Linked DNA regions of Struthio camelus. The protein of the gene in region 2 interacts with the protein of the main gene of each other region in a biochemical or structural test. Links are inferred from orthologs where the notes say so. Each region holds a gene or a part of one and is shown on either strand. Other genes may lie near its edges.

Region 1 (7,662 bases), on a different chromosome or scaffold from region 2:
CTGCGCGAGGTATCAGTTTGTTTCAGGCATTCCTGCTTGCGAGCGTGACATTAGCAGCGAGCTGACTTTAGGAGACCCAAACAGGTGATTGTTTCTTTTCTGCTCTTCACAAAAGGCCTGATGCAAAACTCACTGGAGCTGGTGGAGAGGCTCACAGAGATGTAAGGGGCTTTGGCTCAGGCCCAAACAGACCAGCCAGCAATAATGCTGAGAATGTATCTGGAGTTGAGATAGTACAAAGGGACTAATCCTAGTCACCTTCCTTTAACAGCAGGCTCAGTGTGATTTGAATTGGCTAGCTTCTGCCGTGAATTAAGCTCAAAGCCCCAAAGGCAACTCGATTCTAGTCATCTAGCCTTGCAGCCTCCTCCAAATTTAATCCAGAGGGAAAATTGACTAATCCTATTCAGTTGCTACACTGAGCTAGTGCCATGGATTAAAAAAACTTGGGGCACAGGGAGACTGAGTAATCTGGGTCAGTTTTCCTTTGCAAGTCCTTTGCAGAACTTGACAAAGAAAAGGGGGGGGGGGGGACTGTTGAGAAGGAAAGGTCACTTGCTAAAGTGAACGCACACTTTACCAAAAAAAAAAAAAAAAAAGGCAGCAGGCAATCAGTGAGGTTTTGTCAAAATTCCCAAGATGGAAAGAGGTTGGATTAGGGGAGCTAGTCTTCCTTTTTTTCTGGAGTAAGGACCATGTCCTCGACTCTTTTCCGGTTCTTCAGTGTCCACGCAGGACTGAGAGGACAATCATGGGCTGGAGCAAGGCAAGCCGCAAAAATGCTTCTGGAGAGTGGATGGCACATTAGTTGGCTTCTTGGCTGCAGTCAAGAGAACAGCACGTTGGCTGATCTCTGAGGTGAGTCATGAAATGGAAGTTGCCCCTGTAACAGCTGCTCAAGTAATGACATTAGTAGGTGCTTTCAGAGAATGCATTTTTAGGTAAGCTTCAAAGTAAATAACCACTGCTGCTGGTCATCATTTTACTGTGAACAGGGTTACCCACGACTGTGTGCTGCAACAAAAGGTTAGTTTATTGATAACCCCCTATGAAGGTTATTAACATAAAAAAAGGAAAAAATGTGTGTGGGATTTTGTAATAATCTTTGCATTTTCTCTGCCCTCTATTACAGAAGTGGAGGGCTTTCATTATTAATCTGTTGTCTCATTTGACTTTGGTGCATGTTTCCTGTGATGACAGGAATGGACTGGAGGTTTGTTTTTAGTGAAAGTGAAGAATTTCTGTTTTTAAAAATTTGTTCCATAAGCAGTGAACTTTGTGAAGCCTGATCACCTGCTTTGTGTCCTCTTGTCTCCTGCGTTTGCTTGATACGTACCACTACATTCCCAGTTCCATCCTCCACTGCCTTCACAGGCTAGTTTGGAGAATGCTGACAGGCTGGCTGATTGCTGTTGGATATAAAGTAGCTGAATTCTGCGCCCCCCCCCCCTTCAGTGAGGAGCACTAAGTGATACAGCTCTCCCTCCTTTATCTAAATGCCAGTTTTCATGAAATTTATTTGCCTTTGAGGCCTTTGTTTAATGGCAGATATGCCAAAGCTCCAAAGTTATTGGGAGGAAGGATGACCACGAGTTCAAAAGCTTTGTTCCCATAGTTGAAAGTAGAAAGGTGGGCTCTGCTAGCAAGCTGCTTCTGGAGGCCAATTCACCACGGTCTACGTACTGCAGGTAACAAAGACTGAAGAGGAGGGTTAGCAAAAAACAACAACAACAGGAAATGTGAAATTGTAGTGGAATTCCTTATTTTGTCAGAAAGGACTCTTACAATGTCATTGGTGTATCCTCCTAATATACTGTGCTATTTAACTACACAGGAGAGTGGGCAGCAAGTTTGGGGAGAAGCTTTGGGAAACCCACGTGAAATGAGGTGCTGCTGAGTGGTGCAGAAAGAGAGAGGGGAAAGAGAAAGTGGAGAGGGAAACAGCACATGCACTGTACCAAGGAAATGGAGGGAAAGGTGACAAAAGGAAACACTGTCCTCACGTGGGTGTCCCTTCCAGGGGCGCCTCTGACCCAAGGATCACTGGATTGAAATGGTGAAAGGTCAGTGTCACGACCACAATGATTAGTTACAAACCTGTGAAGCCACGGCCTCGTGGAGGAGGGGCTCAACAGCCCCAGGCAGCTGTGCTTTCAGCTGGCCCAACACCCCTTTTCTTGAGGAAAATCCCCCAAAGTGCCCCCAAAAGAAGCCACGGGCGTTCTGCATCTGACCCAACCCAACATTTAGGTTTTCATCCCCGTTCAAGTCTGTGACCTCGCAAAAGGAGCAGGTGCCCCAGAAGAGGTCCACCGCCAGGGTCAGCTTCACATCGCCCGCCCCACCAGGGCGTCCTAGGGCAGCCCCCGCAGCAGAGCTGCCCCGGCCATTTCAACTTTGTGTTAACGCCGCAGGCTCAACGAGGCGGGATGCCCGTGCCGGCGAGCGGAGGGCTGGAGGGCTGGGTCTCGGGGGAGCCTGAGGGCAGCACCCCGAGGAGGCACCTTGCCATGGGGGGCTCCGACAAGCCGGGCGGCAGGGGGACCCACAGCGCGGGGGGCTCCTCAGGGCGCCCAACGGTCGCCCCCCCCGCCGCGCGCTGCCCCGTTAACGGCCGCCGCCCGCTGGGGCCATCTTGACGCGAGGGGGCAGGGTGCAGCACCTCCCTGCCGGCGGGGCCCGGAGCCGGCGACCGCGGCGCTGTCCCCGGGCTGGGCGGGCAGCACCGTGTCACCCAGCCGGGGTCATGCGGTGAAAGCCCGAGACGGGAAGGCTGGGTTTTCAAAAGTAGTCAGCGCCCGGCTCCCTTCCTCCTTCCTCTCCCCCCCCCCGCCCGGAGGGGCTCTAACCAGAGGTGTCCCTCGCCCCACGCCGCGCGGGGGGGGGTCGCGGTGTCCCTCCGTGCCCTGCGGGCTACGGTTATATAATGTAACCCCTTAGACTCCTGAGGCGTGACGTCGTCATGTCGCTGGCCGTGCTTTTGTCCGAATATCGCGCATTTCAGCCTGCAGATCACTTTGGAGGTCCTGGAAACCGAAAGAACGATGACAAATACGAAGCCCTATTCATTACGATGCTGGACGGTGGAGATGGTCATTATATTTTCGGCCACTAAAGATATCAAGTAATTCGATATGTGATCTCTTGATATGCTATGGAAACTGATGGCACTGAGCCAAATTTATCCCGGAAAAGTCGATAGGAATGCTCATTCCTATTGTCCCTTCAGGAATAGGTCCAGCACTTCAATTAAGAGCTATGGCAACCTACAAGGACTACAGGGAAAGGTGACCGAGTGTACTGTTCTTCTGAACATGTGGTAGGTATGGTGGGTCACTCTTGCCAAATTACTTTTTTTTCGCTTCGTGGGCAGAGAGTGAGCGAGCGACAGCAAAGATTTGGGGGAGAAGAGTAAAAAGCCTCGAAAATCCAGTACAACAGCACTCCAGTCGACTGAATGCAGCGCCCGTCATGCACACGGGCTCCCAATTTGGGGACTTAAAAAAAAAAATGAAAAAAAGAAAAAATCCCTATTACTTCTACCTTGGGAAAACCGAAGCAGCGTTTTTTCTTTTCTGTGGCTGCCAAGCCCCGAGCCCAGGATTTTGTTTTCTCTCCCAGCATGCGTTGATGACATCACGAAGTGCCCCTTCTTTGTGTGTCAGTGATGTCACCAAGTGCAGTGTGGGGGACAATGGAATCCTGAACTCCGGGCGAAGGCAAGTGGGAAGCGGCTGCTCCTGCTGTTGATCCAGGGCTGATCCAGGAGAGGGAAGGGAAGAAACAGCTGCTGCTTTAGGGCTGGAACAGGTGAGAGGTGGAAAAGCTGCTGAGGGGATCCTTTTTGGCTTGGTTGTGGTGGGGGGTTTGGACTGGGCTTCTTTCTTTCTTTCTTTCTTTCTTTCTCTTTTTTATTGCTTTCCAACTGAGACAGGTGAGAAGTTGCTGCTGCTGCTGGAGGGACAAAGCAGATGAGGAAAGGGAGAAGCTTTGGGGCTGAAACAGTTGCAAGAACAAGGGGAAAACAACCAGCCTCCCCCCCCCACACACCCTGATAATCGTCTCTCAGCCTTAAAAAAGCAGCACCAGGAGCTTGTCCCCTCTCCCTGCCACCTGCCTCGAGCTTGTCCCCTTGGGGCTTTCGCCCTGAAGCAGAAAGCACAGCCGGGGGCGGGGGGGGGAGGGTGTTTATTCCTCACCCCCCCTTCACACCTTCGCAGATTACTTTCCAGGGGGTCTCCATTACAAACTCACGTCCCTGCCCCCCTCCATTGCCCCTTTCCTCCATCGCGGCGGGGGGGTTGCGGCTGCTGGGATCCCCCCGCCAGCCCCGGAGCCGGGGCTCGGCCGCCGCCGCCGCCGCTCGGTTCCCCCTCGGCCCGGCCCGGCCCGACCCGGCTCCGTGCGAGGCCGCGGCGGATCGCGCCCCCCCCCCGCCGCCCACCGAGCCCCCGCTCGGTGTTGGGGGGGAAGGCAGCCAGGGAAGCCATTGCCTGTTTAATAGTTGCTGTTGCAGCACTTCCGCTTCTCTCCCAGCGAGAGAGACACGAGTGGCCAGGCCCAGCCGCACCGAGGAGGAGCAGCCAGACACAAAGGGAGAGGTAGGGGCACGGGGGACCCCCCGCTGCCCTCCCCGCCGGCCCGGCCGGCCCCCGGGGGCAGGGGCTGGCCCGGCGATGGGCAGGGAGGCAGGCAGGCAGGCGGCGGGCCAGAGGGATCCTGCCCGGGGCTGTCAGGTACCGCTGTCCCCCCGGCCCCGGCGCTGCCCGGCCCTGCGGGGCCCGCGGCCGGGGGGGCAGCGCGGCGGCAGCAGCCCCCGGCCGCCGGCTCCCTCCCCGCCGCCGCCCGGGTCGGCCCGTGTGCCGCCCCCCCCCCCCCCCCGCGCCCGGCCGCGGCTCGGCCGCCGGCCCCGCAGCTGCCCCCTCTGCCCGCACACGCTCCCGAGGCGCCGGCGCACCTCCCTGCCCCAGCACTTTGTGCCCCCTCTCGGGTAGGGACCTGCTTTCGGCCGCCCGCCGCGCTCGCCCTCCGGCCCTGTCCCCCGGGGGCACCGAGGTGCCCTCCGGACCCGGCTGTCCTCGCCCCGCTGCTCTCCTCGCTGCCCCCTGCCTCCCCCGGCCCTCCCCAGGCCCTCTGCTCTCACCCCTTGTAGGCCCTGGCCCTTCTGCTCTCCTCCCCCACCAGCACAGACCCTTTGCTCCCTTTCCCCTTTGCTGGCGTGCCCCCCCGGTGCCCTGGGCCTCAGTGGGTCCCCTCTGCGTACTCCAGCCCCTATTTAGCTGTTCCTTTTTTTTTTTCTCCCACCCTTCCCCCCTCTCCCCACATGCTCCTGACACCAGATCCAGCAGGCACAGGTTTCTTCCCCTGCAGGTTACAGATCCTCCTTTGGGGTGTCCCCCTGTTGCTGGTGATGCCCCACTTTTATTTTAGTGCTGGCAGCAGTGTCCTTCTTGTCCCTTCCCACCTTCCCCGCGTGCTTGCAGGGGACGCAAGAGATCGAAGCTGCTCTGTTTTTATTTCCTGCACCCCTAGGCTGGATAGTGGTGGGTGGTGATGGCTCTTCTTGTGTGTGCAGTTTCAGGGAAGATTAAAAGGAACTGCTTTGGGCTTCCCTGATCCTTGCAGTCCAGTCCCTTCTCCTCTTACTCCTCGTTTGCTTTCTGAGAGTCCCTTTAAAAGTCCCTTCCTCCTCAGTGTTGCTAGTGCAGGGGAGGCTACTGCTCCTCCTGCTTGGACTGTAGGACCTGAAGAGGCGAGGGAGACAAGAGGACCCTTTAAAAGGAACATGACCCAGACACAGAGCAAGATTGTCAGCTGCCTTTCTCTGTGTGTGTTTGTGTTCACTGTTTGTTCCCCACGCCCCATGGTGTCTCCTCTCCAGGTTGGGGTGTGTGGTGGGGGGGTCGCTATGTCGGATGACGATTCAAGGGCCAGCACCAGCTCCTCCTCATCTTCATCCTCCAACCAACAGACAGAGAAAGAGGCAAGCACACCTAAGAAGAAGGAAAGCAAAGTCAGCATGAGTAAAAACTCTAAGCTGCTATCTACCAGTGCCAAGAGGTGAGGCTGCAGCTAGATTTTTTTTTTTTTACTACTTCACTCTATCTTTTCTCCTTCCTCATTTTCTTTTGCTCCTTTTTCTTGCTGCTCCCTTGTTGCTCCCATTCCTCATCTCTAGCACTTATGTTCAACCTTTCCACAGAAAGCTGCCATCATCTCACTTTTTTCAGCATCTCTGTGCAGTAAGGAGTGTCTGCCTGACATTGCTGTTCTGTGATCTCTCTCCTTGCTTCTTCTTCCATTCCATCCCAAATATTTTTCTTTCTTTTTCTCCAGGCTGTTTTTCTATCCTCCAATTATTTTCACTGTCTTCTCCCTTTTCCTTAATAACATTGGATATAGGGATGTTTTAGGAATGACGTTTGGGAGCTTAATTCCTTTTCTGCTACTGGAAGCTATGTGGTCTTGAGTAGCATATTTAATTTCTATATCAGTTTCCCTCTCTGTAGAAAGGGGTTGATATATAATGGCTTTTTAGTTCCAGAACTACTCTGAGGATTAATTAATGTTTGTGAAGAATTTTGAGTTCTCTTAATGAAAGAAAGTGTAGATGAGTGCAAGTGGTGTAGTATAGTGCCAAATCTTTTCCACCAAATACATTACTATTTTCCTATCTGCTCATCACTTGTATTAATTTTTTTCTGTATAGCTGTACATTGACTAGAATAAATAATCCACAACACGTCCCCCTGCGGACATTCTGTTCCAAAATGTTTTTTTCTTACAAGGCAAGATGGCTTTCTTGAGGGGAAAATATTACTTTTATTCCAGAATAATGTCTATATTGGGGAGAGATGCCTGCATAGAATGCCTGCATAGTAGTAATTCCAGAACAGCTACATCAGTCAGTTTTCTTCACCTGGACAGACTGTTGGAGTCATTCAGTTAAAACGTTATTGCCCTTTCTTATTTACTCTGTGGTGCAATTTAGCACCATCCTGTTCCAGAAAGCTAAGCTGGCAAATGAAGTTCTCAAGCAAACTTTCAGTATTTCAATAAGAGTTAACAGTCTGTCTCACTGAAAAGCTTTGTCAAGCAGCACAGAAAGGTTATATCTGTAGATGTCAAAAATGACTGGGGTTTTATGCAAATGCTCTGCCATCACAACTAAGAGTTCTCTGTGGCTTTGTAGAATTTAGGCAGTTTGGTTATTCCACATCTCCATTCAGCATGTTTCCTTGGGAAACTTGTATAGATAGTGGCAAGTGGTGTTTACATGTGGTTCCCTTAGCTATTTTGAAAATAAGATAGTTTTAAAAGCCTGCTAATTGTGAAGTGTCTAATACAAAAAGACTAGGGTTCTTATTGCGTGTGACAGCTAGAAGAGAGGCAGAAGATGCTGGTTGAGTTTAAAGGGGAAGAGAGGCAGACTGAGTGCTGGGTGGGGAAATTTGGAGGGGAAGCTTGAGTGACAGTAATGGGACTCCAGGGAAGGGGATGATAGCTGGTTGGGCGTTTTGTGGCAAAAGCAGTGTGATGCTATGTGAGCCCAGAATAGGCTGGTGAGGGAGGGCAGGGTGTTGTCTGAATGTGGTGAAGAGAGGAGCGGCTGAAGTCTTGAGGGAAGGAACATGGTTGTTGTATGGTTTTTTGGAGGTGAGG
Region 2 (8,000 bases):
GGCTCTAAGATTTTAGGGGGCACATTACCAAAGACTTTAAACTAGTTAACTCCTCCTCATAATGCATCACGGCAAGAATGGGAGAAAAGGCTGAAAGTGATGTTCACTTCAAGTGCAACCTGCTTCTACTGCATTCAGTGGTCACCCTCACAGCATCTTGCTTGCCTGTCAAGTCCTGGCCAAGCAGCCTCCACCACATTGTCCTAGCTTCATCTTCTGCTTAAGCCAAGGCCTATCCTGTGTTAAGCCAACTGACTTGCAGTCCGCTATAGGTGGCTGCCATGAAAACCGCAGGGACTCCCTTAAGAGCTCAAGTCTCCCTGTCTGCATCAAAAACGAGTAGATCTGAGCCAAAAGTGTCATCCTCACCTCCAATTTTCTAAAAAAGAAGACCGACCACCGTTCCCTACCTCAGTAACAACCTACATTCCCATAATCACCACCTAGTCACTAGAGGGATTTTTTATCTCCCCATCACCGAGTTTGAGCTCTAACTGAGACCCTCAAGGTTTCATTATATTACTGATGATCTTTTCCTCTTCCTCATTGTTTTATCTGCAAAGGGAGCCATAAAGGGTTCAGCTATCAGCAACCTGAAGCATTTGGCTCCCAAAGGCTCATGCCACTTTAGTGTACTCTTTCTGTTTAAAAAGGATAAGCTAAGGTAAGATTGTTCATGAAAAGATACCTGTCACCTAAGGGGTTACATTTACAGAACTTCAAGATCTAATTTTCACTCTGATAATTCTTTGAAATCAATAGAAAAAAGTATTATCAAGTCCTTTCTATTGGGGTTTTTCACATGAAATGAGGACAAGACGTGCAGTGTTCTGCATACATTTACTAAGACATCTCTAGAGAAAACTATTTTCTTCTGCAAAGCTCTGAAATGAGACATCAACAGCTACTGAAATTCATATGCCAGAGACTTGGTTCACTATGGCATTTCTCCAGCATTACAAGTAAATTGTGAATTAGGCTGGGAATTCTATTTTCAATGTGCTTTTCCTCCCTCTGAAACCATTGTCTATTACATGTAACTTGTGTATAAGAAGCAATTTGTGTCTGTTCCCCTTCAGCAGCTGGAAAAGGACACTCGTTTCCAAATGTTCAGATGCAAAGACGAGCTTTTCTTCAGGGCTTCTACTTAGTGATCGAGTTATCAATTATAATTGTTGATTTTTTTTAACCCAGGATTACTTCAATCACATAACTGAAGCATCTCACTGGAGCCTGTTTTATGGAGATTATCACTGCAGAGTACAGGCTAACCACTCGTTCTCCTCAATTGCAATTCACACCCATGCCCTAGAGCTGCGGTAGGGATTAGCGAGGAAGCAGGGAGTGGTGGCTTTTCCACAGGGAATTCCAATCAGATTTCTCCAAATTCAGAGATTGCTCAACTGAGCAGATCCAGTTGCCTTCTAGCAGCTGGTTATACCAGCACAAAGTAGCTGAAAGCACTCAAGGCAGCAAAAGCATTTATATCCCATAATATCTGAGCACTTTAGAATATGTAAAGTACTTACATGAAGCAGGAAAGTACGATTATCCCCTCTGTAATGGAAACAACTTAGGCACACCAATGGCCATGCTTAATCTACGGCAAGCCAAGCTACTCCAGTTCCAAAAAAGCTGCAAACATACAATACAAAACCTAAAAGTGATTCAGTGTCTCCTCAACAACAGCTTGGAATAATCCTGGAAGAATTAAAGCGAATTCATCACACGGCTTGGTCAGCCATGCACTACTGCTACACAGCAATTTGCTCGGGGTATATTCCTTAATGTATCATTCTTCCCATATCCACAGCCAAGAGTGTTATCCCCAGCTCCTCAAAACAGAAGCAAGGTTGAGTCTTTTCAAACCCATGGGTTATCTTACTCAGAGAACTCTCCTTCCCCTGTCTCTGGATCCAGTCAGTACAATACACACATTCCTCCATCTTCATCATCCACATCAGCTGGATCCAGTCCTGCATTTTTTCTCCATCTGCTTTCATCTGCAGGTTCCTCATATTTACATATGTGGATTCAGAGATGTTTCTCCTGTTTTTTCAGAGGAAAACCTGTGACATTTACAAGCAATATTACCTCATAACAGTGATGGGCCATGAGCTGACCATTACCAGTCAGGGACAAGATCCTGGAATCAATAGTTCCAGGGAAAAAAAAAAATCCATTTGATGCTGTGCAGGGGCCAAAAAAAAAAAAAGGCTAACTCAACTGTCAGGAACTACTAGAAAAGAAAGAGCACGGGAAAAGACCATGATTATGTATATCCATGGTGTCCTTGTCTTGGATATTTTGAGCAGTTCTTGTTCTTTGTGCTATAAGGATGCATGTGACTGTAAAGATGATCAAAGGTATTTATCAAAGTTACGCAAAAAGCTTCCATACAACCAGTAACTGGAGTAGACTCTAGCAAGGACTTTAGGAGTATCACCTAAAAATGCAGGGATAAAATTACGAAGGTCAAAGCTAGGCTGGAATTGAAGCTGGTAAGGAATGTGAAGGATAAAAATAAGGACACCTGTAGTACATTAGCGGCAAAAGGAGGACCAAGGAAATTGGGTTGTTGCTCAGTGGGAGAGAGCATATAGTGACACAGGACATGGAAAAGGCTGTGTCAGTGCCATCTTTATCGGCGAGGTGTCCTCCAGGGGCTCCCAGGTCCCTCTACATCTGGTAGTAGTTTGGGGGAGAAAGGTGCTACTCACTGAAGAGGAGGATGAAATTAGAGACTACTTAGATAAACTGGAGATATACAAGTTCACCAGATCAGGTGGGCTAGCTCTCCCAAGTGTGCAAAGAGAGCTGGCCAACACCATTGCAAGGCCACTTTCTATCACCTCTGAAAGGTTGTGGTGTTTATGGGAGCTCCCCGATGACCAGAGAAAGGAAATGATCTAGGGAACTTCAGGCTGATTAACTTCACCTCAAAGCCTGGGAGGCTATTGCCAGACTCCATAAGAACAAGAAGGTGACAAGGAACAGCCAGCATGAATTTAGTGAAAGCAAGTCAGCCCTGACCAACCATATTGCCTTCTGTGATGAGATGACTTGCTCTGTGCACAAGGGGAGACCAGAAGATGTTGCTCACCAGGGCTTTAGCAAGGCCTGTGGCATGATTCCCCACAGCATCCTTATAGCCGAACAGGAGATAAGGACTGGACATGTCGGGTCTGCAACAGAGCAAGGGAAAAGTAGGAAGAGACCTGCATCTTCCAGACATACAGTTTCTGCATATTATTATTTCTGAGGTGACAGAAAGGCTCAAGGCAGAATAAACTTTGCCTTAAATCTGAAATTTTAATATATCAAAGTTGGCAGGTTGGCTACCGTGTGGGAGAGAGCCTCCAGATACAACCTCATTTAAATGTGCTCATTTAAATAACTATTTTTAGATGCATGTCCGGGGTTAATGTCCATCGGAGCATAGCCCGGCAGTGTACCTCGCTTCGACACCACACTGAAGTATGGTATTTCATTTAGTCTTAATATTTCAAATATGTCTGCCCACCATATTCTCTGAGAGTACTAGTACTGCATGCACAGATTTGTAATTACATAGTTTTAAGTCCATTGACCTTAGCAGCTATTGCCCTGTAACATACATGATAGGTTTTTCAAAATTGTGCTAAAGATTGTAATGTATCAATGTCTTCTTAAGAATTCTCACATATTCAGAGACGAATTGTTAAGATTCTTACAGATCTTAAACACACATTTCCTGGCCCAGAGCACATAATTGGTTTCAGTATCAGGCCTTTGAGGACTTATTTTTTATGATTTTAACATCTTATTCTGACATTTTAAGAGCGTCCCCCCTGACTCTAGATTAGACTTTTAAAAAAATCTATACTGTTTTCTAGGGTAAAACGACCTCCATTCAATTTCCCTTATTAAGGGACTACGTAAAGAAGATTCAGATCTGTTTTCCTTTTCTTTTCCTTTCTACTTACTCCTTCTTCCCCGTTATATGCATGAAGCAGTTTTGCGCCCTGTGCCTCCCATTTTTTTTCATAGTTATGTATTTACACGTATAAGCTACGTTGCAACTAAAACCTCAGTGATTCAAGAGTGAAATCATCAACGGTTTGAATAACATTAGGCTTTGGTAACCTGGATATACACCGGCGCTGTGCCCTTCCACCCATCACCACGGGCAAAGGCAGCAAGACCCTCGCTACACTTCTTCACTTCAAGAAATGAATAATCCAGTCCTCACTCTCCCCTTCCTTTCCCTAATGCTGGTTGCAGTGCAGGGAGAGTTGCACGGCTGCCTTGCCCAGTCTGGGCTCTGCCTGTCCTGATGCGCTTTGCCTAGTGACAGCAGCAACATATGGCTCTTCTGCTGACTTGCTTCCAAAGGTCACAGGCCGTTCCTCTTCCTGCACGCTTCTGCTTGCTGGCGCTGGCACTCTGCCCAGATTAAACTTGATAAAAGACAGCAAACCCATTGCCCCGGAGCTCCTGGCGTGAAGATAGATCAGATCACTGTGACGGGATTCAGCTGTGGAAGTCCTCGGTGGAGAACTCACTGAGAAATTATGAGGCGGTGGCTGCACTTTTGGCTATAGCAGCAATGTGCCTTGTTATATCACCACCCCTCAGCCTGTGTGCACGTGTGTATGTATGTTGCTATAGGTGTATATGTGTGTGTGCATATAGGTATGTATGAATGTGCATGCGTGCACATATATAAAGGTACATGCGTGCGTGTATGTGTTGTGTGTATATGTGTGGATGTGTATAGGTATGCATAAGTGGGAGTGCACGTGTGTAAACGAGTAGGCAAAAACGTGCATGTCGACGTTATGTACATGTATGGGTGCGCTTACATGTGCTCGTAGGTGCCCGTGTACGTCTAGCTGTGAACGTCCGCACGTCTACAGGGGTGTATGTCTACGTGCAGGCGTGTATGTGTGCGTAAGGGCTGTTCCGAAGGAGGGGAGGGGGCGTGCGCGGGTATAACGGCTGCGCCCGGCTGCCCAGAGCGGCCGCGGGGCCGCGCAGACCGTTGCGCCCAGCCCGCGCGCCCCTCCGCCAACGGCCGCACGTCTCCCTCGCACCAGGAAGCTCCACCCCTCCCCCACCCCACCCCACCCCACTCGGGATCGCCCCCCCGGAGGGGGGGGGAGGAGGAGGAGGAGGAGGAGGAGGAGGAGGAGGAGGAGGAGGAGGAGGAGGAGAAGAAGAAGAAGAAGAAGAAGAAGAAGAAGAAGAAGAAGAAGAAGAAGAAGAAGAACAGCCGCTGCGCATGCGCGACTCCGACCTCCACCCCACCCCCCCGCTGCCGCCGCGAGCTGGGCGCGCGCCACCACTCCGCTCCATAGGGCCGGAGCGTGCGCCCCGCCCCTTCGCTGCCCTCTTCCAACATGGCGGCCCTCGCCTCTCGCACCAGGCACGCACGCGCTGCCCTGCCTCCCTTCCGCCGGGTGCCCCGACTGAAAAAGGCAGGAGGAAGCCGGCTCGGAGACTCTATGGTTTCGCGCGGTGGGTAGCGTGCCGCAGCCGCCTCGTCTGCCCGCCCCTCCGCTCGCGTTGCACGCCGGGACACAGTGGGTCCTCCTCCCTTGTCCTCCCCCCCACCCCCCCCAACCCGCCGCGAGTCCTCCGAGCTTGCGCCGCGCCGATATCCGCGTTGCTCCCAAGATGGTGGCGCGGGGCTCGGGCTGAGAGCGAGCGAGTCAGCGAGAGAAGGCGCACCCCGCGGGCCCGGCCCGCCCTCCTGCCCCCCCTGCGCGCCACCAGCCTCACCAGGCCGCTCGCTTCTCCTTTCCCCTCCCCGCCGAGGCCGCGGTCCGGTCTCCTCCGCTCCGGGGGCCCCAACGGCTCCACCGGCAGCAGCAGCAGCGGCGGCGGCGCCTCCTCCTCCTCTTCGCCTGTGGCCCGGCCCCGAGCGCGGCGCGGCCCCCGCATGAACCCGGGCGGCAGCGTCGGCGGGAGTGACCGGGAGCAGCAGGCCGCGGCGCCCAGGTCGGTAGGCGCTGCGCAGCGTCCGGCCCGGGGGAAGGTGGGGGGGGGGGACGGGACAGCGCCCGCCTCGGCTCGCCTCGCCCCGGCCCGCCGGCGAGGGAGGCTGCCCCCGGCCGCGAGGGGGAGGGGGGCGGCGGGGAGGCGCGGGCGGCTGCCGTGGTGCCGTCCTTCCCTGCCTGCGAGGCACATGGGTACGGGCTGTCCCGTCCGTCCCCGGCAGCGGGAAGGCCGGGCGGGCGGGCGGGCGGCTCGGGGCTTCAGACCGTCCGCCCAGGGGAGCTGGGCTTGCTGCGCCCTGGTCTTCCTGGGAGACCTTGGGTGAACCCAGCCTGCCATTGCCTCCGTTTTCCGGCGTGGCGGAACGGAGCGGCGGCGCTGCCTGCTCTGCCGGGCTGCTGTGGGGATGGAGAGCTTTGGTGTCTCTGACATGGCCAGCTGTGCCAGTTGGGGAGGTAGAGGTTCGTGCGGTACTGCTGGGGTTCATAACGAACGGGCAGGGCTTGCTCAACAAAATAGACGTGCTCTCTTGCTCATACTACCTTTTATCCTGTGTGAAGAGTTGGATCTCCTAAGGTGTGAGCAAGCCACTTTGCTTATAGGTGGGATCTGTCGGTCCTGACGGTAGGACTCGTTGGACTTCGGTTTTTAGTGTATCTGCTCTATTTCTTCTAAAGGAAGTGCATGGGTTCTCAGTCCCTTTGTAAAGATGATGTGACATGGCTATTTGGAAGTTAATACTGCTTGGGAAACAAAATATGTTCCACGACTGTCCTTCAAGTGGCAAGAACATGTAATCTGTAAACTTGTAGTCATGTTTGCTGTCTTCCTAGAGTGTTCAAATGAATGGGAATGATTGTTATGTTTCTTCCTGTGTAAGAGCTGTCCTGAGTTCTGGTTTTGGGATGAAGCCTGTCTCATGTGTTACTTCTGAGATGCTCCCACTGTATCTGTAAGGAAACTGTTGTACCTCAGTAGGATTCGGTGTAAACCTGGGGTTCTGTGAGAATCAGCTTGTCAAACTAGCCTGGTACACAGCCTTTTGCATGTGTACCAAAAAGTTAGTTCTTCATTGAGAAATTATGCCTGATTGTAGCTTTGATTTCCTAAGAAAGTAGGACCTATGTGATTGTATTGCCAGCTTATCTAATAGTTTAACTGGTTTACCAGTTTGAAAGGGAGAAGTGTGAAAGATAAGATGGAGTTTCTAAAAGTTTCATGCAAATAGCATCCAGTTAACTGCTTCTCCCTTGGCAAGGAGTTTCTAACTATAGTGTTAAGACACCTTTAACTGGGTGGAAGAAGGGTGGAGGTGGTAAGGGATACCTCTTGGTAAGAATGAAAACTGCTGGAAGATGGGCTTTACAATTCTCACGGAATACTTATTGTGCTGATTAAGAAGATCTTGATCACATGTTTTGGGTGGTGTTAGAGTAGCTCAGTACTGTTGCATTAAATACTCTATGCCCTTTCATCTTGGAAACAAATAAAGGCACGTTTTTTCTTCTGAAAATACTGTTAAAGTTTAAAGAGTGCAATTATTGTGTTGACTTGAACATAGGAAGCATGCATTATCAAATTGCTGTGGATGTTTGATAGTTTTCCTCATGTAGTTTGCCTTTTAAAACAGATGCAGTTTGGCTGTTCCTAACAGTGCTTATGATACTGCTGTCCTCATAACAGCAATGGTCTGTCAAGTCAGTATAGACAAATCTTGGAAGAAAAACTGTAACACTATTTACATTCAAAGGACTGAAAAATACCTTTAATCAAAATCACTTAATTACATTATTACAGATATTCCATCTCTCTTTTGGAAACACATTCTATTCCACTCTTAGTGTTTACTGTTTAATTCCTATATGAAAGACACTGCATTAACAACTCTGTTTACTAGAGTTGTTTGATATTCTTCCTCACTGGAGTATCCTGAATGTCTCCCCAGTATTTGGAAATAAAAGCATCAAGTTCCCTTTCTAGATGGCAGAATAAATGGTTTGATTTGTTTGTTTTCTTTAGTG
Region 3 (7,607 bases), on a different chromosome or scaffold from region 2:
CACATCAAAGTGCTTTTTTTACTCTGAGTTGTTCCCTTCTTCCCGACTAACAATTTTATCATCTCCAATTAATAACAGATCTAGGATGTCTTTTATTGCACATTTGGATAAACAAACAAAACATGTCCTTAATTCTGGCAGTAACCCACAGGCTTTCCTCTGAAGTCTTCAGTTCCATGTTTTTTCTCCTTTTTTTTTAAAGTAATTTTCTGCACTTTGCTCTACAGACTATTAATTATTTCCTCTTTCTAACTATATTCCAGTAATCCTGGTAAGAGTGGAAGGAAGGGGAGGAGCACTGATTTTTTATACTTCAGCTTTTTCTCCTTTCAGGTTTTATCCAATCTTGGCATATTTCTCATGGGTGTTTGACCATCAGCTCAGATTAAACAGAACTAAAACAGAACTCGTTTCATCATCTTTTATTCTTCTTCTGTTTCCTCTTCCTTCTCCGTGCTCTCTTACTTCCTTTTTTGATCACTGTGGACAAAGCTCTCATCCTTCATGTTGCTCTGGCCTGGACGTCAGTGTTGGTTTGGACATCCATGCTGACTGGCATGTGCAGTTTAACTTTGAATCTTAATCCCTAATTTTAACCAGGCTGTGATACTAGACTGTACCGCTTACTTATTAGATTTTCAAACCAGATGATGTTTTGTGTTTTCTTCCCCAACTTGAGGAGTCCCTCCCACACAGGAGGAATTCCTTCTTCTCAATGATATCCAAAAAATTACTCTTTGGGGTACTCTTTGGAGGCTTTGGAGCCTGCCTTGAAATTCCCTCTCCTCTGTGATATTAATCAAAATGTGACAGCGGTTGCCTGAATGGTTCAGCAGCGAGAATGGTCTTGTACTTTCACTAGTTTCCCGATCAGTCTATCTGTTTGTCAGTCTGCATGTCTGTATCTGGCATCTATCTCTTTTCTTCATTGTCTTAAATATCACACAAAGGTTTCCCCCCAGAACATTAGTCTTAGGGACGAAAAGATCACTCCTACATATGACAAACAAAAAATTAGGAGTGGATTTACCACCAGGCCTTTGCAAGGAGCACCCTGAAGCACAGGCAGTGAAGTATCAAGACTGGAAATCTCCAGAAGCTGAAGTTATGAAAAGCTTGAGAGGTAGCAATGGGTGCACGCAGGAAGCAGCCAGGATACAGCAGCTCTCCTCTAGATTTTCACCTGACCAGGATACAGATGTCTAGGTGTAGTGAGGGCTGGCTGCTCCCGAAGGGCAGGGAGCCGGGACCTGATGGTGACCCCAGCGCAGCCGTGCCCTCGCCCAGGAGTGCGCCCTGCAGCACTCAAAACAGGGCAAGCAGAGCTGGATGCTGCCAGCAGGGTCTGGAGACAGCCCCAGGCTCAGCGAGGGGGTTGGCCAGATCCAAGGTCCAGTCAGGAGCAAAGGGAGACAGGGCTGGGACGGGGCTGGAGACAAGGCTACAGGTCGGCTGCGAGGTGCCCATCCAGGAGGCAGGGCCAGAGGCTGGGCTTGAGACAGACAAACCTACAGCTGCTGTGGCATGGACTGACGGCCCCTGGCTGAGCTAAATGGGCTCCTGGGCCTGGGGCTGGGGTGAGGGCAGGCCTGGGAGGCCATGCAGGGCCGGTAAGGCCAGTAGAGCCCCCAGGGCTCTACTGTAGGATTTGAGGCTTGCGGGCCTCCTCCCTGCCTCCCATCCAGTCCATATTAATTCAGAGCCAGCTTCTGGTGGGCATCCTGGGTACAATTGCCCTGGGCCAGCTGCTCAGAGGTGCCCTGGGGCATAGAGGCTCCACAGACAGAAGATGGCAAGCAGAGCAAAACCAGAAGACAGATGGTGGAGTGTGGCCTGAGCCGGGTGTGTGGCAGGTGGCAGGACCAGGCCCAGCCCGCGCCTGCAGCGGCGGGAAGGCGGCACGGAGCCGTGGGGCACAGAGCCGCGGGGCCCCAGGGGGAGGACAGAGCGGACCGGACAACCTTGTGCTGCAGCCAGCCAACACTCATCCCGGTCAGGTTCGTGTGGTGGCAACAATCTCGCACTTTGTTAGTGCCCCCAGGAAAGGCCTCATCCTTGGCCATGCTGGGGGCCAGGGGTGGCAGAGGGCAGGGAGGATCTGGCAATGCCATCCAGGGCCAACAAGGGGCCCCAAGAGGTTGGGGACAGCAAATGGGCTTCAGACGTGACGTTTGGGAAGCGGGAACGGGCTGGAGAAGGAGATGCTGTGGGGAGGAGGTCCTCGAGGGTGGACATCTGGCAAGTGACAGGCATGGAGAATGCGCTCGTGCTTGTATTGCAGATTATGCAATATGGGCACTTTTTAGTAAAAAAAAGTCAGAGTTATGTGATTACATCACTCTCCTCTCTCTCTCTCTCTCTCTTTTTTGTGAGCTTCTACTCTTCACAGATGCAGAGAAAATTTGGAAAATTTTATCCAAAAGGTAACAAAAAAGTGATGATAAGGTTAAAAACCCAAATCAAACCAAACCAGATCATAACTTTTTTCGAATAAGACCTAATTTGTGGATATTTGGGACTGGCAATCATGTAGAACGGAAGTTTTGGGGAAAAAAAATGATTGGGAACAGGAAGAATGAGGACTTTGTTTGAAGTAGCAGTCTGAGGTAAGAAATATGCTGGAAGGGAAACAGAGCATAAGAACCTCTGCTTGCTGAGATACATTCATCTTGCTCTTGATTTAGCTCTTTGGCCCATGCGGTATATAAATTATTATAGTATTAGAGAAAGAGCCCATTACAGCTATACTGACTAAGATTTCAAATACAGTATTTCCGAATTCTTTATGTAACAAGTTTGACAGCTCATAAAGTTTGACCATAAAGTTTGGCAGCTTGCTATCTGTAGAGTAACAGTTTGTCTAAAACAAAGCAGGAGCTCTGTGTATGTGTCCCAGTTACTGCAGTCCCTCGTCTCTGCGCTGGACTTCAGCCAGGAAGGGCACACTTTATAGATTTACTACATTCCCAGTTAGGGCACCCTTAACAGTTCCCTTTTCTCCTTTTTCTTAGTTTTATTATGATTTAACTTTTAGGCCTTTTCTACTTTTTAGGTAGAATTTAGCCATTAGATTTCAGTGCAGACTTGTGTGGGCAAGCGTGGATGGCACTGCTTATTTTGCTGGTGCTAGAGCTCTGGAAAGGCAGGAGAGTTGCTGCTGCTACTGCTGCTGCTGCCACTGCCACTGTTCCCCCCAGGGGTGGCCAGAGGTTGTTGCTGGAGAAAGAGTTTGCAGCCAGTGCTCACCAGGCCCACCTTGCTATGTTGGCAGTCAAGGAGAGGCAGGTTTAGCTTTTTAAGGATCTACCTCAACCCCTCTCTCTTTGTCTTGCCTCTTTTGTTTCCTCTCCCTTCCCCTGCACCCCAGCCGACATGCTTACCCTTGAGTCTGCAGAGCTCCATCGCCTGTGTTTCTGAGAAGACTTGAGGCAATTCTGGTACAGGGCTAGGTGCTAAAAGCAGATAACTAACATTTTTCCCCAAAGATTTGAATGAAAGGACAGAGTTATGGTCAAAGTGGCACCCTATCAAAGGATTAACTACCTCTGATAGATTGTTGTATCTAGATAAGTATGTCACAGGTGCTGCTGATTGAGTAAATTTGCCAGAATTGTGCGGCATTGCATCAGTTTATCACTCAGTAACCTAGTCAGATTGTTGCTGGGACAGAGATGTGAAACCAGCCAGAACAAAGGGGCTGTTCTGTTCATGTAGCGTGAATTAACTTATTAGTAGGTTACAACTACTTGTTATAAGCTTAATGCACTTTTTTTTTTTTTCCTTCGGTTCATCGTTATTTCAGACACGAGTTCAAATCAACAACAAAGTTTGCTTCTCTTCCAGGAAGTGATGCCTACTTAGGGCAGAAGATTCAAGGAATGTTCTTGGCTTGAATGTTAAAGAAGCATTCATTGTTTCATTGCAGTGACTGCTTCCTTCACATGGATTTAGAAATCAAACTGCCTCTCCTTATAAATTTGTCAATACGTTCCTGTTGATTTTTTTGAAGACTCATAAAAAAATCTGTTTTTTTCTGCTCAGATTTTTACTGGGGAGAAGTTCATAAGTTGGATGAGGGCTCCCTAGAATTTAGAAAGAAACAGAATATACTAATGTCTAAAAAAATGGTTTAAAGGGATATTAAAATATAAAGAATGTGGTTAAGGATAAGTTTGCTGATGGATAGTGCTAAATCATTCTAAGAAGTATGGCTGAGAACAGGACAGAAGATCCTTGTTTTATTTATCCTTTGTATTGCTTTATTGCCACAGGTTTTGGCTTTATGTAATTTTTTTCAAGAGTGTGTTTACTGAAAATACAGTGTACTGACCTGAGAGGGAGGTCCTTGCTCCTTTTTCCTCAAATAACCTTCTCAGTGGCATACACATGACCCCATACATGGTTTGCAGAAGTTGCATCTGGCTCAGGAAGTCTCCGTAACAGGAAATAGTTGGAGGTTGGGTGAGTACTGGGAGAAGTGACTCATACACTTGCCTGTTCTTACTCTTCCCTAGACATCTGCTTTCAGACAGTGTTGGAGGCAGCCTGTAGGGTGAGGCAGATGGCTGTCTGACCCAGCATGTCCTGACACACTTTCTACCTGGTGGTCGTTTTTCCTCTACGTGTGGAGGGCATGATTTGCTCTCCAGCGCTGCTTCCACTGGTGGCTCGAGGTGATGCAAGGATCAGCACAGCATGACACATCACTTGTGTTCAGCCGGAAGCCTGCTTCTTGGGAAGCAGGCAGTCAGGTGCGTGTAGGGGAAGCTCAGCTATAGGCAGTCAATTTTGTCTAATCTTCATAGCTTCAGTAGCTATGATAGCTTCGGTCTGTCAGGAGGAAGGATATGGTAGAAATATTTTCATGGCATCATCTGACTGCCAGTATACTGTCCGGATCTGATCATTATAAATAGGGTTTTGGCCTAAGCAGTGAAGAGCGAATTCCTACTTAGCAGCTCATTCTGCGGTCTTGGATTGGCTACAAAATAACTTGGTCTCGTGCGCAATTTAACTTTTTTTCACCTGTGTCCAAAAGATTTAGATGTTGTTTGATATCCAGGACTCAGAGTAATGAGCCTCTGGAAGATCAAGGTAGAGATTTTGAGCTTTATTATTTATTTTCTTGGTAGCCTGTACTACTGAACAGATGTGGTATAGATGAAGTGAGCAACACATTACTTCTGAAGATTCATAAATCCTGATGTTTACTGGTTCCTGGCTCATGCCCATGTGACTCCTCATCCCATGGAGGAGAAGGGTTCTTGCCTCAGCTGTATTTCTGGGTGATGGTTCTCTCTTACAATTCTCCTCACAGAAGTCAGAGGAATCACTATGGGCGGCTGGAGGAGTGGGTTGTTGTTTTGTTTTGTTTTGTTTTTTCCCCTGGAGAAGGAGCATAAAACAAGACTTGGAACAGAGACAACAGCAAAGTGAACCAAAATGTTCATGGGGCTTTTGTATATACAAAAAATACTCACATAGGCACTTGTGGGTGTGTATGTGCAAGTGGTAGAATTAGTCTATGTCTTGCATATATGTGCGTGAGTGTATGCTAGAATTCATCCTGTCCTTTTGAAGAGGATGTAATTAGGGAGTGGCAAAACCAGCCAAATATCAGCTAAACTTATTTATTATTAACCGATATCAGCCGAATTTAAATTCAACAAATGTGAATAAAGTTTTGGAAGGAGAGGTAAGCTAGAGGTAGGAAAGCTCTTCTTTTCCACTGCTTATTCAGTTGCTCCATGGCAAACCTATGTATCACTTTTTTCCCATGGATTCTCTCATTCTTTTTCTGGGGCCCTTCCCTTCCCCCTTAACTCTCACTTTCTGTAATATAAAAATAATACATCTGAAAAGGGTTTGGATGCAAAGTGGGAGAGGCAGTACCTGCCTCCATGCTGGTGAAGGAGACACAGGATCTGGCCTCAGCAGGACCATTGCCAGGACCCACACAGATGAGACCAAAGGCCTGTCCTACTGTGTGTCCTGGTGGCTGAGCTGATAAGCACTGCCTGCAACGCTAGGAAAGAAAGAAAAGGAGGTGGTGACTCCTGCACAGCTAGTAAATAGCTAAAGGAATGTTTTATATATGGCCATAATTCTGTGATAATCTAAATAATTAAATTGAAAGCTTTTTTTTTTGGCTGTATGTTGAAGGTTATGCTACTTATTGGTGTATTTATTTTAATCAAATATTTTTGGAGGCTCAGACTGTTTTTAATTGAAAATACATCCTGTCCTCAAAATATTGATCCTGGAGAGCCTAAGTTAAATAATGATAGCAGTAACAGAAATTTCTTTAGACCTGACTGCCAATACTAATGACTAGTGACAATTTTCCTTTTCTAAATACGGACTCTGAGTTTTGTGCCTTAGTACTAATTTGATGCTTTATTGCTGGAATAGTTTCTATTTATTTTCTACTGTACCAGGGGATCACCGTCTGCAAGTATCATCTTCCTACAATACATTATTCTAAGCTATGTTACATTACACTGGAATAGTATGCATGCTGTAGTAGGAAATGCTTTAATTCTGAGCCTGATTTGCAATCACACTGTATCTAGAACTAGCTAGCTAGCACATTTAGAGCAGGATTAAATTTCTGGCAGAAAAAAATTGGGCTTCTCAAAAAGCGTTTAGCAAATTCACCTGTGTTTCACCAAATTTTTCCATTTAAAACCAGGACATGAAAAAAGCATTACAAAACATTAGGAACTTTACTTTGTCATTTGCATGATAAAATGTTTTGATGTTTGACACAAAATCAGCTTTTACTTTGAAATTTCTTTGATGTTATTTAAATAGTAAAAGTTTCATGTTTAGAATGCTTGATGCTAGCCACTTGCTTTCTGTCAAACAAAATGCTTTCTGTGATCTGCTGATAGCTTCCTCTCACGCCCTAACATGTTCAGGGTTTTCATGAGGTCATATTTCAATGAAAAGTCGAGAGAGGGAGTGTAGAAGAGCGAGGGAAAGTCTCTTTTGTTTTTCTCTTAATTTCTCCTACCAAGCATATAGTCTATACCTTTTCCATCTCTCTTGATCTTCCCTTTTCTTTTTTCTTGTTCATGGCGATCCCATTCCAATTAGTGAAAAGAATTCGTTACTACTGTTCTGTTTTCCCTCGACTTCTCTAAACTATTTAACATGAAGTAGCTACAAAATTAACATGAAATTAAATAAATTGTGATAGTAATACAAAAGGCAAGGTAATCAAATTTGATCTTGATTTAAGTTTCAGCTGAGAAAGACTTGTGTTAACAAGAAAATGTAGTTTTTCCTTATTAATTCCTTGGCTTGTGTGGGGTAGTATCACTATTGTTTAGCTGGGAATTGTGATGCCTGCTCTAATTAAGATTTGCTATTAGATCTTTAGATCTGCTATAACATCTTTCCATCAGCTGCTGTTCATTTAGGAACCCTTTACCTTTTGGGCTGAAATTTCCTGTATTTGATCCCTGGGAAAATTTCCATTTTCTTTCCCCTTATCTCTTTTGAAAATTAGAGGAAAATTTGTTTGCTTATTATATTTTATTATGAGAGGTGGGAAATACCTAATTTCATAAAAGTTAATATGCCTAGAGATTTTGCCGGCTATG
Region 4 (7,231 bases), on a different chromosome or scaffold from region 2:
GCTGGCTGCTCGCTGCGAACATGACGCCCACGTTCTTTGCGCGCCCCACGGCAGAGAATGGCCAGGTAGCTTTGTGACATCGTGCCCACAACCACATGGCCTCACTGTGAGGTCACAGCGCTGGGCTTTCACAGCTCTGACTCGGGGCAGAGGCAGGAGAGGTAGGGCAACCCCAAGAATTAGCATCATCACAGGTCTGGCAGTTTGGCCACCGCAGACTGAAAGAGCCCAGGCGAGCAGCAGGGCCCAAGGGAGGCACCACTCTGCCTGGAGACCCGCCTGCAGGCAAAACCTCCCTCGCTCCTCGGAGCAAGCTGCCCTCTATAGCTCCCGCCAAGCCCAGCATCCTGCTCTGCCCACATCAGCATCTCTCCTAACCCCTACTGCTGGTCAGGATGCCCAGCCCCACTCTAAGCTCAGGGATGGGATTACAGCTCTCCTCCAAGATCCCCAAATCTAATTAAGTCTGTCCCATCTCTGATGTGATTATCATCCCATAAACTAAGCACGGGCAATGCACATGCCACAGCACTTGGTAGCGAGTGGAACGAAAAGCTCGTCAGCTTCTGGCACTGCTTCCCCTGTCGCCACCGCAGCAGGGCTTGGGGCTCCCAGAAGGGGCTGAGACCCAGGCAGGAGGCCCCCTGACACACCCTTAGCCATGAGGCATGCGGGTTTAAGGAGAGATGCTGCCGGGGCTCTATAGCAAGACCACTGCCGTGCACCAGCAAAGGGGGTTCCCCACAGCAACCCTGTCCTGTCTCCAGACTCTGCCAAGAGATGTTCCCTACTGCCCTAGAGGCCTCCAGGAGCCAGGCTAGAGAGAGGGGGCCTTTGGAGAATGGAGGATTTCTCCAGGCTTTTCATCTGCTCTTAGGATCCAGGCACTCCTTCAGGGCACAGCCCACCTGCAAACAGATTTGGAGCAAGTTGGGGCACAGTTGGAAGAGGATCAGGCTGGTTCTGCCAGTCCCAAAACTTCTAACTCCCAGCCCTGGGCCATGGTAGGGGGGACAAGACTTTCACACAGAGGTGAGAACAGAGCAGTCAGAACTCCCTCACATGAGACCCAGATTTTCCCAGGAGCACCACAGCTGTTCCAGGCTGGACAGCAAAGTCCAACCAATCCTGCAGACAGGGCACCGGAGTGCTGGCCCCGTACCCACCTAATCTCCCTTGGCAACACCAGCCAGGGCAAGGGGCTGAGCTCTCACCTGAAAGACATCTCCATTGACAGTGGCTCCTCCATTCTGGAAACCAGCTAGAGAGGAAGAGAAAAACAGCTATGGCAGCTGCAGGTGACCCCACAGGGGCTGGTGTTCATGAACCAGCGGCAAGTCGGTTCAAGAAGGACGTGACTTTGCTGTTTCCAACCCAGCACACCAATCCACAACAGCCCTCCATACATGAGGCAGAGACGGAAGACCTCCAGGCTGGCCAGAACAATGGACACCAGCTGAGCCACATCAGAGCTCAAACAGAAGCCAGCAAGGTCTCTGCGTTCAGAGGACGTCACGTTCCCAGCCCAATCGGCTCTGCCTGCTCCCAACAGGGCCCCAAATCCCCCCCTTTCCAAAACAGAGCAGAGCATGGCAGCACAGCCCACCCTGCCTGCCCCAGGCCCCAGTACCCTCGCCCCACACTGCCTACTGATGCCAGCAAGGGGAAGGGGAAGTGCACTGTCTGCACTGGTGTCCAGAGCCAATAACCCAGCAAACCCTCCCTGCGCTGCTGCTGTATGGTACCTGGGGTCTCCTTCCACCCGTGAGAGGGCTCAGGGCTGCGTCCAGTGGTCTCCTGTCCCTGGTGGAATTCAGCCAGCACCTCTCCTTCCTAGAGGAATCTCCCTGAGCATTTATGTCTTTATGGTGTTTTCACTGGTGTTTTATCTTATCTGGAGATTAGGGTGACTGTTTAAGGCACGGGACTGGACAAAGATAGATACTTTGACTGCACCGAGACAACCTGAGCAAATCTGAACCTGCAAATGGCCAGGCAGAGGATGCCTGTGGACATGGACTGGTGACCCCACAGCTGTCAGCTGAGTCTCCAGCAATCTCCAGCCAGCAAAGGCAGAGCTGTTTTGAGCCTGTGACAGGAAGGCAAACCTGCCAGGAACGGAGCCCACAGAGACACTGCAGTGCACTCTGCGAGCAAGGAGGAGGGCAGGCACGCATACCGAGGTCCTCAAGAACCTGTCTGGGGAATGCACGCAATTCCCTGGGGTTGGGAACGAGGCACTGCTGATGCCCATGGCTGCAGTACATCCCCACCTCCTTCCCAGCACCAGAGAACTTCCTGAGAGCTGCACACCAGGGCCACAAGACCAGCCCCATGGGGGCTCTCTGTTGCTGTGCAGAGAAGAGGCTTCGCAGGAGGCAGACTCCAGGCCCTGAGCTCTCATCAACGAGGGCCAGGCCAGCCAGGGGCACAGACAGCCACACAGTGACAGCACAGCTCTGGAGCAGCTCAGACAAGCACTCTCCCTATAGCACTGGTCCTACAGCTCCGGCTACACCCAGCTTCAGCCTGTCTGACTGCATTTACTGCCACAGCTGCCAACGCCTCTCTGGGCTCCAGAACCGGCTCCATGGCCCTGCTTCTGGGGTGGTGAAACACCACCCCGCAGCCAGCACGGGAGGGCCCTGCAGGCCTGCCAGGGGAAGGAGCCAAGAGGACTGTGGCAGCAGTGGGGCCCAAATGGAGGCATGAGATCCGGATTAGCACCTTATACCTCCAGGGGCTGAGACACTGATGTCCCCGCTGGAAATGCCTTCCATTTTGCATGCCAAAGCACTCTCCGGTCTTTGGGCCAGTGAAGGGGCTGCCCAGCCCCATATGGATGGCTCACTGTCCCCTAATCCCACCTGGATCCCCTTCACCCTGCTCCAGCCAGAGGGACTGAGACGTGGGGGAAAGGGAGGGTGTCCAGCCTGGGGAACCTAGCCTGACCATACAAAGAAAGAATCATTCCACAGCAGGCAAGCCCAAGCTCAAGGGTCATGCCAAAACCTGAGGTTCAAGGAGAGGGAACCCCAAGCCCTGGGGAGCCAAGCACAGCCCCCCGGAGAATCATGACGGGGATGCAGATGTGGGGCACAGGGGGGTCCCCACTGCCTGCCCACTGGGAGTGCAGCACAGACCCAGCACACGGGGGGTTCCCATCACCCACTGAGGGTACCGTGCAGCCTGCAGGGGACCCCAAATCAGCAACCACCAGGGGTGCAGCCCGGGACTGACCCCACTCTGTGCCCATGGGAGTGCAGATCGGGGAGGGGGGTGCCCCCCCACCCCTTCTCCTTCAGGGAGCAGCCTGTGGGGATCCCCTCTGTGCCCTCAGTGGGGCAGCCCAGGGACGGATCCTCCTTTACATCCATGAGGGGTGCAGCCCGGGGGGAACCCTCCCCTCGGGGCCTTCGGGGGAGCAGCCCAGGGCCGGATCCTCCTGCCTTGAGGACCGCAGCCCGGAGGCGCGCCCCCGCCGGCAGTGCAGCCGGGAGGACCCCGCGGCCCCCGGCGCGGCGCTCACCCGGTTCCGGCGGGGCCGGGGCCGAGGCCGGGGCCCCTTCGCCGTCGGTCGGCCCGAAGCCCTCGTCGTTCTCGATGCCCGCGATCGCGCTCTCCTGCTGGGCCAGGAAGTCGGCGGCCGGGTCCTCCTCGGCGGCGGCGCCCTCGGACGAGGAGAAGAAGCCGAAGTCGTCGGCCATGGCGCCCCCCCGCGCTCCCGCTGCGGCTGCAGGCGCGGCGCGGCCCGACTGGGCCCGGGCGTAGCTGTCACTGCGGCGGCGGCGGCGGGGGGGGGGGGCGGCGCCGCCTGACATCAGCGGCGGGGCGGGCCAGGCGGGGCCGCGCCCGCGCACCGGGCCCGCGGGGCCCCCAGCCCGGCACCCCCCGGCGCAGGGAGAGCCGGGCTGCCCTGCTGCCCCACCGGCGGGTTTCCCTCCGGCCGCCGTGTGGGCACACGCAGGCGGGGGCGCCCCATGTGCCCGGCAAACGGCACACCACCCCCCCCCCCCACCGCCGCCGGGCGCCCTGCCCAAGCGGGGCCCTGGTGCCCCGCGTCCTGCTCCTTATCCGCCTGCCACCACCTTGTCGCGGTGCTGCCCCGGCCGCTGCCGGAGCCCCCGCGAGCCTGACGCGGTCCCGGCGCGGCCCCTACGGCCGGGCACTGGGGCGCGGGCTCTCCGGGTCGCCCCACTCCCCCCCCCCCCGCCGCCCGTGGCTGCATCGGCCCTAGCCACGTGCTCGCTTTTAGCCCTTTTCATTTTGAACGCGGGGCCGGGCTCCACCGCGGCCCTGGAGCTGGCGGGACGGCGCAGAGGGCGCCCTCCGCCTCCGCCATCTTGGCTGGGGACCCCCCCCTCGTCCGCCATCTTGGGTGGGGCCGTTGCCTGTGGGTGGGGGTCCTCAGAGAACTGGAGGTGCTTGGACAACACCCGCCGGCGGCTGCGGGACCACCTCGGTGACTGGCCGACAAGCCAGCGCCGCGTGGGCTCCGGCCTGCGAGTTCTGCCACGGTCCCCCCGCCTCCCCCGGCGACCCGCGGCCGCCAGCCCTGGGCACAGCCACGGAGCAGGCCTGAGGCGGCCGCCGCCCTCGGCCGTGTCCGGAAATGCCCGAGCGGCTTTCGGAACTCTTCGTGTGCCAATCGGGAGCGCCCGAGCGGGTCGGGCCTGCGAGCCCTTCGGACGCGGTTCGGGCATCTCCGGCGGTCTCCGAGAGCGTTTCGGCCATCTCCGGAACGCGGCCGAGTATTTCCGGCTGTGGCCGAGTAAGCGGCCGTTGGCTCGCCAGTCGCGCCTGCGCGGGCGCGCGTGCCAGGAGAGCCGGGGCGGAAGTGCTGGTGGGCGACGTCACTTCCGGAGAGTGACGGAGCGGCGGGTCAGAGGCGGCAGGAAGATGGCGGCGCCTGAGGAGCGGGAGCTGACGGCGGAGCAGACCGAGAAGCTGCTGCAGTTCCAGGTGCCGCGCCGGGGGGGCACCGGGCCGCGCCGGGAGGCAGCGGCGGGGCGGCTGGGCTAGCCTGCGGGGCTGGGGTCCTGCTGGCCTGCCGCGGGCCGGGGGGCACGGGGCGCCCGGAGAGCCGCTGCAGGCCCCGCCCGGAGCGGGCCCGTGTGGGAGAGGGGCGGGGGAGGAGAGTCCTGTAGGTCTGGCCCGGGTGGGGGCGAGGGGGCCGCTTCCTGGTAGGGCACGGCCCCCACTGGCGTGGGGGTCCCGCCGGTGCGGGGCTGGCACTGCTCGGGCTGCCCCGGGCCGCCGCCCGCCTCGCTGAGGGTCAGTCGGCGCTCTGCGTGCTCCTGGCATTTCATGAGGAATGGTGCCTGTCAACGTTAATTCGGAAGGCAGGAAGCGACTGGTGAATAAACCCCATTACCTCTGCGTAGGGGAAACTTCTCGGTCTGTTCCAGCCATTTTAATTATCTAGTGTGAAAAATTCCCCTTGTTGTTACTGGTGAAAGGAAAACCCTTCCTGTTATGTGAGGAGGACTGGCCAGCGGGTTTCTATACAATGCGGTTTCTCACAAAATTGTTCCTAACCCTCAAGGTTGGGTAATAGCTGTTGGGGGAAGGCCACTGGGGCTAGTAATGATCTAATCTTGCTATCTGCTGCATAGCATGGGCTGGGTGACGTAACCTTTGGTTTGCCAAGTCCATGGGGCTGTGCAGCAGTCAGATAATTTAAAAAAAAATGCAGATTTTTCTTATTAGAAAAGTGTGCTGCAGTCAGAGTTGAAATACTTTGGGCTGCTCGGTGAAAGGTAATTAAACTATTACTGATGAATGAAAATTGTGGTCAGGTGTCTTGGGTTTGTTTTTGAATTGTAGGGCATTGCAGAGACTTTCTTGGACTTTTTTTTCCTGCAACAAAAGTAATCTTTTCTTTCAAGAGTTTTGTTTAATTTTTGTTCCTTCATGTTCAGTTTATCTTAAGAACATGCTTTGCTTTTTTTGATGCAATATAACTGTAGAATTACAGAGCTTAGAGGTATTTCAAAAGCATCCAGTCCTGCCTCCTACTACTGAGCTAGGTCATTTCAGACAGATATTTGCCTAGCCTTTCTATTTGACACCTCTGAACAAGGGGATTCAACCATCTCCTGAAGTAATACACTGCAGCGTTTCTCCATGGTTGACTTCTTGCTGATACGACATCTGAATGTATACTGCAAATTAAGCTGATTGGGCAGTTTTAATTTACAGTCAAATGTTCATGAATAGCTTTAACAATTTCTTTCCCAGTGCTACTGTTTTCCTGGTAAGTGTGTGAGCTTCAAGACGCTGACTTGTGCTGCATATTATTGCTAACGTATATGTAAAAATCGACTTTTGGGTCTATTTTCCTCAATGTTAGATATCGCAGTACTTAGTCATCTGCTGAATCTGGATAGATAGGATCAGCTGCACTTATTAGTTTCACTGCTGCTATTTTCAAAGCCCTGTGGGCAGCAGTGAAACTGTATGGAATTGTGTCTGTTTCCTAATGCTACCTCTGTTACTGCTGTGAGTAGCAGGCTAGGGCGCTGGAGGCTCCTGAGAAAGGAGGGAGAAGGACTCAAAAGGAGGGCTGTATGTGTTAGTCCAGCTTTCTTGTGAGCTCTAGTTTGAAATGGAGGGAGAGGGCAGAGGAAGAAGTCCCTTAGAAAAAGGGAGAAGCTTTAAGGTTAAGACAGCTGTTGTCCAGAGCTTGATATGAAAGAGAGAATCTAGAAGGCTTCAATACCAGGATCCTCTCATTCATGTACAGCCTAGGGTACACAGGATTAGCATTTCACCAGGGTTGTGCTAAGGACCTACTTCACTGGTGATGTCCATCTCCTGTGTTATCTTTATACCTGGCTGGAAGGGCTCGGGCATGCGGTCCTGCTTGTTGTGCTGGAACGAGAGTAAATCAGTCCATCTGGAACAGCTTTTGTTTCCTTTAGCTCTCTGAGAAACTCTGGATTCTTTTAAATAGCATGCGCTTGGAGAAGACTTATGTCTTGCTAAAGTCATCTGTACATTGCTATTGTTGCAGAGCACACTTACAGTTGGAAAACTGCAAACCTTCCAGGGATTCTCACCCTCTTGGCAGGGGGCGCTTCTTGTATGCTTTCTAAGGTTGCTTTACGCTTTCATTGTGACACACCATCATAAAAAGTAATTTTTGCAATATTCTGCAGCCACAAAGCATTGTGTTTCCACAGAAGTCATACCACTACAATGTAAATAAAGTGGGAGAATAGATTAGGAG

What was found.
Region 1: the proteins of UBE3A (region 2) and ubiquitin-conjugating enzyme E2 E1 form a complex in vitro, tested with the Homo sapiens proteins (2 studies listed by BioGRID). The link is inferred for Struthio camelus from reciprocal best matches to the Homo sapiens genes UBE3A and UBE2E1.
Region 3: the proteins of UBE3A (region 2) and ESR1 form a complex in vitro, tested with the Homo sapiens proteins (2 studies listed by BioGRID, with this or other methods). The link is inferred for Struthio camelus from reciprocal best matches to the Homo sapiens genes UBE3A and ESR1.
Region 4: of the proteins of UBE3A (region 2) and FAF2, one has a biochemical effect on the other in vitro, tested with the Homo sapiens proteins (2 studies listed by BioGRID). The link is inferred for Struthio camelus from reciprocal best matches to the Homo sapiens genes UBE3A and FAF2.

What each region holds. Positions count from the first base shown.
Region 1 is NC_090943.1:44,086,318-44,093,979, forward strand, and holds the start of ubiquitin-conjugating enzyme E2 E1, read left to right. Parts: upstream 1-4,655; 5' UTR 4,656-4,676; coding exon 4,677-4,736; intron 4,737-4,898; exon of another isoform or gene 4,899-4,990; intron 4,991-5,881; coding exon 5,882-6,060; intron 6,061-7,662. UniProt on the Homo sapiens protein: Accepts ubiquitin from the E1 complex and catalyzes its covalent attachment to other proteins. Catalyzes the covalent attachment of ISG15 to other proteins. Mediates the selective degradation of short-lived and abnormal proteins.
Region 2 is NC_090942.1:150,498,953-150,506,952, forward strand, and holds the start of UBE3A (ubiquitin-protein ligase E3A), read left to right. Parts: upstream 1-4,999; 5' UTR 5,000-5,982; intron 5,983-8,000. UniProt on the Homo sapiens protein: E3 ubiquitin-protein ligase which accepts ubiquitin from an E2 ubiquitin-conjugating enzyme in the form of a thioester and transfers it to its substrates.
Region 3 is NC_090944.1:81,057,818-81,065,424, reverse strand, and holds the start of ESR1 (estrogen receptor), read left to right. Parts: upstream 1-4,598; 5' UTR 4,599-4,695; coding exon 4,696-4,751; intron 4,752-7,607.
Region 4 is NC_090954.1:10,069,418-10,076,648, reverse strand, and holds the start of FAF2 (FAS-associated factor 2), read left to right. Parts: upstream 1-4,227; 5' UTR 4,228-4,899; coding exon 4,900-4,962; intron 4,963-7,231. Other genes in the region: CLTB (clathrin light chain B), read right to left, coding at 1,215-1,261, 3,530-3,821. UniProt on the Homo sapiens protein: Plays an important role in endoplasmic reticulum-associated degradation (ERAD) that mediates ubiquitin-dependent degradation of misfolded endoplasmic reticulum proteins.